Linked DNA regions of Tribolium castaneum. The protein of the gene in region 1 interacts with the protein of each later gene in a pairwise test. Links are inferred from orthologs where the notes say so. Each region holds a gene or a part of one and is shown on either strand. Other genes may lie near its edges.

Region 1 (3,007 bases):
GTGTTACCAAATTGCATTTGAACCAATGTACTTTTATTCAAACCTTCTTAGCCTTTATGGTTTATATTCACTTCAAAAAAAAACACTACCGCAGCTACTACCAAAAACAAAAGGTAACCCAGAAGAGCCTTTTAGTACATCATCAAAATTTTGTATCTGAGTTCGTGCTTAGATACGTCTTTAAATCGAAAATTTAATTTTGCTGCACCCACATGACACGTAACATACTATTTCGAATGCGCTTTGATAAATGTCAAGTGATTGTCTTCACATATGTGGGTAAATCCCCGACCACGCCTTTAATACCAACCTAACGAAAATTAGGTGCGTGTATGTTGGGTTGCGTTTATTTTCTCCTAATTTTTTTTTCTCATTTATTTATCAGAAACGAGTCCGATAATTAAGGAATCCTTTAAAACAAAGATTTTTCGGTTTTGATTTTGTTAATTGATAGACGTAAAATTTGTACACGGGTAAGAAATAAGCAACAGCCCAGGGCGGGTTTAAAATATTAATTTTAACTCTTATATTTAATTAATTACAACACAACATCTGGAGGACAGGCACTATGTAAAAACTGTTAATCCAATTCTAAAGATATTTTATAATTAGCTTTGTCATAATAAATAACATCTATTAAAAATTTAAAACTAACAGCATCCAGCGTAACAGAATCATTAAAATCACAAGACCATAAGTTATTTATATAGTTTCATACAGAATCATCTGAAACATAAAATAATCAGGAATTGTGGGTTACATTATAGGAGATAATACCGTGATACCACCACTTTGTCTTCTTTGGATTTTTATTGCAAGTTTTTACATAGAAAGCATTATCGGGAGGTCTTTGCTGTAAAACAAGATTAAAAATACTGTAATACTAAATAAGGTCTCACCTTTTCTTTACAACTACTGAGCATAGAAACAATTGAAAGACAAACAGACTGAACAGACAGTGCAGGAGACCAATCATCTGTTAATATGGAAAGGCAAATATGTCCATTGCTGTAAATATGCGGGTGAACTGGAATGTTATTGCCTACAAACGTCACCTGGAACGCAAACAATATAAACACAATACTAGTCTAACAAAAAATCCCATACTTCTGGTGAATCAAAGGGATATTTGTTACTAAATTTAAACTGCAATTGAAAACGTTCTCCTTCGTACAATGTACCTGCAGCCCCTTCCATATTAATGATCCAACTAGAAGTCATGTATTTAGCATTGTTATTGGCAGTTTATTGCTAACTTACTGCAATAAATTTTGCTCTGCCAGATCGAAGTCGACTTCAACTCCTGGTGGAGGTTCTTTCATCAGTGACATGAGCTCCTTTTGCAACCTTCTCTAAATTGAGAGATTTCGTGAAGAGGTTAGAAAAACAATGCAATTTACTTACTTCAGACGGCGACAACCCTGCCATTTTGGAATTAACTTTTCATCATACCACAGATTAGATTGTGAGATTTTAACTGAACACAGATCAACAGACTTTAATTTAGCTTCAAATAAATAGCCAAAAACTTACTTTTGACGTTCAAAACAACCGACCAAATTACCTACTGTCCCCCAATGCTCCTCAATTCACGAACAATGGACAGATAACCATGGTTCCAAAGTAAATAATTCTATTATTCATTCCCGCCAGTGGCGGAGAGACCATGGGGACAAATCGAGGATTTTTTTGCCAGCCTCAACGATTTGTCTTATGTATACACTACTATAGAAAAACCAAGACCCAAGTGCCCTATGGTGAACGCTTTTTTAAAAGATTCATCAAAAGTGTCGAATTTTTTTAATACCACAATTTGACTGATTTGATTTTCCGCTATGTCACAGAAAAGTTATATTTCTATTTTCGGTTTGACAACTCATATAAAAGTTAATGCCAAGAGTACCAAATTTCTACTACAATGGTTTTTATGAAAGTGAACCGAATATAGTTGTCTATTAATAAGGGCTTAATCCTAAATATAAAATAAAACGTTATTAAAAAAAAACTAATTTTGGTTCATTTTCATAAAAAACATTGTGGCGGAATTAACTAAGATTTTACTATGACAACTCATATAAAAGTTAATGCCAAGAGTACCCAATTTCCACCAAAATGTTTTTTTATAAAAATGAACTGAATGTAAAATTTGGTCCGGTAGTACTTGAATTGCAGAGTGTTAAGAAGTTGTTTTTTACTTAATTATTGACCGGAATTAGCAGGAAAGCAAATATATATATTCATTTCAGTTTACAGTAGAATTTTGCAACAGCATTTTTTGATTAAAAGGAGCACAAATTGAGAGTTTTTGGTGGGTTTTCTTAGCTCAAAGTGTGTCGCTGAGATTAAGTTTAACATAGATTTTTTTTCCTAAACAAAAACTCCATGGAGCGCAGCGACATTTGACGTAAGTTGGCTATGATTGTTTTATACAATATTTGATAACCACCCGGTGGATTTCTAAAACAAATGTAAAATTTAAATTGGGAAGCAAATAGTACTGCTTGTGGTAGTGCTTTTATTATTATTATCACAGTTATTATCTGTATTATGAAAAAAATTTCGCACGCCTATGCCTATGCCCTATCCTTGAAAATGACGTTTAGCGTTTGGTGATTTTGTGACTAACTTCACCATTATTGTGGTTGAAGGTTTTTTTGATTATTTGTAAGGTGCAAAAATGCGATGACGTTTGTTTCTAAATAGTCTTAAGATAATTGTTATTCAACTGTAAGACCGGTGGTATTGAATGATATTGGTTGATTAATTGAAAATATTTTAGTAAATAAGTACAAAAAGCGAATGATGTAGATAGAGACTCATCGGCTGCATAACAATGAATCTTGGGGGTGTTATCCGACTAAACAAGACAGGGCTGTGTGTAATATCGGGAGCTGTGCTGATATTGTTTATTTACGTGTTTACTACAAGTTCAAATAATGATCCTCCAAGCGTTAAGATAAATTTAAAGCAGCTCTTGGAGGTAGCAATTAAGGCAGCGGAAAATGGG
Region 2 (3,516 bases), on another chromosome or scaffold:
GACGTTGCGGCTGAGGAGCGTCCACTTGCAAATCGGGAGGATCGATTCGCGACGTTGAGGGCGTTTGAATGTTGAGGGCTAGACGACAAGTGGGACAGGAAGTGTCTTGCTCCAGCCACGACAACAGACAAGTGCTGGAAAAATTTGTTATTTTTATTTAAACAGTTGGCTGTAACTCACTTGTGAAACAAATGAGTGCACGGTAACTTCCTCGCCGACTCCATTTTTTCCCAACAGATGGCGCAGTTGTCGGAATTGTCGGCCAACTCTTCGGACGACGCCATCGGGTAACTAAACCGAAACAGAATTTTTCTAAGAAAGAATGATATAATAATGGAAACGTACTTCTGTTCGAGATGATTCCTGACCCACAGATAATTCCTGTGTTTTTTGTAGCGCCGCTGAATCTCGTGGAACAAATATCTCAACTGCATACAAATCACTAGACTAGCCATTGAGAGGAAAATGTTACTCCAAACTAGCATATGAAGATGATGAACGAAATCGATTATTAAAGCTGTCAGTTCGAAACTCAATTCCGTGTAATAGGCGATGGGACCTCGTTTTTCCCAAACTCGATTCTCTTCATTTGCACTGACTGAAGACGCACCTTCTTGTCGCATGTCGTACAGATGCAAGGCGTACCGGATTATCACATGCAGAGTACGAATACTCAATAACACCACCTGGAAATCAGGAAAAAACAAACACCGTGTAATTATTTGTAAAAATAGAAACTCATCGTTACGATAACTGGATTAAAGCGGTCGGAAAAACATCCAATTATCACCAGAAAAAATTGCATTCGTGTGAAATAAACTAATCACTAATTACCTCAACGAAACAATATATTGTCACAACAGGAACAATTAGAATTAAGATTAATTATTCATGGGTTAAATGAAACGCCTCTCATATGTGTTAATTAAAACTTTATACGAAACACTTAGGTGATTAAACGCTAAATTATTCCGTCAGTCTACAGAAAAAATCTTTCGAACCAATTTGAAAATCTCGCAACGTTGAATTGAAATAAAACATCTACGTCTTGCAATGATTGACGTCAGTTGATCTATTTTCCGATTTATTAAGACCATTACCCGTATTTTTTTAATAACTGAGCGCAACAAGTACAAAAACCAATTTAAAAATAATAAAACATGAATGAGTCAATTTTTAATTAGGTGTTGATTCACCCACATGTGTGTGGTAATTTATGTTTACGAACTCGCGTAAACAAATCTTATTTTAAGATGTCCAAAAACCTCGTTATTGACATAATTTTACAAATAAAAAAATACTGTTGCAAGAGACACCCACGATACCCGGATTACAATTTTGCGAAACTTGTTAGTCTTTGCCGAACTATGAGTAAATTATTACTCACGTTTGAAAGTATAAGCGGTAAAGAATTAATACTGCCAAAAATGTAAAACACTGTCTACTTATTCGGGTCAACCTCTGGATATTTTTCAGGCGTTAAAACGATATCATTATGGTATAAATTGCGTTTTCCCGTTGGAAACACCATAATAGGAATAAATTAGATAAATTATAGCCGTCTCCAAGTTGACGTTCGTTGCAGGCGGCGTCGGCCATAAAAGATGCATACGCCACGTAAGAAATTACATACCTCAGCAGACATGAAAGCAAACGTATTAAATCCGCCGAAGAATCCCACAAAGACCGACACCAGCAGCATGAAGCCCGATAGTGTGAAAATCGCAGTTAGCAAGAACAAAAGCTTCACGTGGCTCCACAGCGGCGTAGTCGGCGAAAAAGACAGCTGAAAAAAATCGGTTATTGGGAAAATGCGGTAAACCGGTACTTACATATTCGAATCTGTCTTTGCTGAGCTGGGAGAGGAGATGCAGAAATCCCAAAAGGGAGAACCACGAGCACCACAGCAACACCTCATCGATGTATTGAACGTTGATGATTCCGAATACGAAGATGAATTTATAAAATACGAAATTCCAAAACTTATCTTTGAGATGTTGCTGTTCAGAGACGCGTAATTCGCCAAACACCAGCTTCTGGATCGCGGTACCCACGAGGATGAGCCAACAGAAAGCCATGTTGATCATGGTCTGGAAATGAGAAATTGCTTCAATTGGATGTTTCGAAAGCTAATCATGCCGACTTTTTTTGATTATTGTTTCAACTCGGTGTAAAGTGACTAGTGGGTCAGGGATTTCGAGTTCGTTTAACTCGCTGCAGTTCATTTTCCTTTAAGATAGAAAATTACTGTTTCGTTGGCCGAAGAAGTGGTACCGCAAAAATTATACTGTTTTGGTAATACTATTACGTAATCTGCGAGAATTAATGAAATTAAAACTTTTACTCCTACGAAGACACCGCTCCATAATAAGAATAGTTCAACAATAGACAACCTACTTAAATGTGAATCACTTAGTGTTATTTATTTGTACCGATAAGTTTCGAGCTATGACATGCAACAGAATTTAAATTGTGATTTCGGAATTTAAAACAATCCCTTATCAAAAAAAATACTTTTTATCACGATTGGCATATTTGTGTATACAAATTTAAACCTTGGCGATAAATAATTATTTTAAAAATGTGAGGGTTATTATAATGCTATTAATACAATGTATTCATTTTTAGATTTTTGAAATTTTAGAAAATGTAATAAAATAATATTAGAACGCGGATCTGAATATGCGTTCCCTCTTAGGTTGAATCGTTGCAAGCTCACGATTCTAAAAAAGAATTTCTAAATCTGGATATAGGCCCTGTTTCTGGAAACATATTTAACGGAATGATAAATTTAAATCTCAGTTAAAACATCAACGCCAACCAGATACGCATTACCTTAGCAATACATACTAACAGTTTAATCGTACCAGAAATCGGGCCTTAATAATTTGAAACTTATCTATACAGAGTGATCTAGCTCAGCTCCCGGCTTCTGTATTTCAGTTATGGGTAAAATCACTATACCGTTTGCATGTGGGAATGAGCTTCTTTCATTTGTTATTCATGCTATGATGACTAAAAATTCAGTCAGGATTGTGGAAATCAAATAGTAGGCTGAAAAAGTACATACCATTTACCATAGCTTTGCAAAAATTGTTTAAAATACCGAGCCACACGCAAACCGTCGTGAACTGATACATATTAGTATACGGATTATTTGTAAGCGTTAGAGAGAAAAAAAATATGAAATAAATATTTTAAATATTACATCAGATGTTCAAATTGATGACTATTTTGGTCTAAGCACAAACGAATTCTTCGTTTACAATTCGCATGAACCCTTGCCGTGAGATTTAAAGATTAACATTCCATTTACAGTAAACAGATAAAATAAATGGTAATCCGGGCCTGAAAAATTCTTACCAGCTGCCTCAACCTTCAGACCTAACAATGATCGCGTGCCAATTTTACGACAAATGCAATAAATTTTTGAAAATTCTATAATTCTACCAAAATTCATGGGAAAAAAGCTGCCCCAATATCAAAACGCAAATTAAAAATCAAAAACATATTTTT

Evidence for each region. The genes of interacting proteins can lie anywhere in the genome.
Region 2: the proteins of ubiquitin-conjugating enzyme E2 W (region 1) and E3 ubiquitin-protein ligase AMFR interact in a two-hybrid assay, tested with the Homo sapiens proteins (2 studies listed by BioGRID and IntAct). The link is inferred for Tribolium castaneum from reciprocal best matches to the Homo sapiens genes UBE2W and AMFR.

The regions. Positions count from the first base shown.
Region 1 is NC_087394.1:30,473,451-30,476,457, reverse strand, and holds ubiquitin-conjugating enzyme E2 W, read right to left. Parts: upstream 1,692-3,007; 5' UTR 1,534-1,691; intron 1,478-1,533; 5' UTR 1,429-1,477; coding exon 1,405-1,428; intron 1,353-1,404; coding exon 1,261-1,352; intron 1,211-1,260; coding exon 1,108-1,210; intron 1,056-1,107; coding exon 900-1,055; intron 854-899; coding exon 778-853; intron 727-777; coding exon 713-726; 3' UTR 512-712; downstream 1-511. Other genes in the region: putative inositol monophosphatase 3, read left to right, coding at 2,834-3,007. UniProt on the Homo sapiens protein: Accepts ubiquitin from the E1 complex and catalyzes its covalent attachment to other proteins.
Region 2 is NC_087396.1:17,618,553-17,622,068, reverse strand, and holds part of E3 ubiquitin-protein ligase AMFR, read right to left. Parts: intron 2,091-3,516; coding exon 1,833-2,090; intron 1,787-1,832; coding exon 1,634-1,786; intron 687-1,633; coding exon 346-686; intron 292-345; coding exon 181-291; intron 135-180; coding exon 1-134. UniProt on the Homo sapiens protein: E3 ubiquitin-protein ligase that mediates the polyubiquitination of lysine and cysteine residues on target proteins, such as CD3D, CYP3A4, CFTR, INSIG1, SOAT2/ACAT2 and APOB for proteasomal degradation.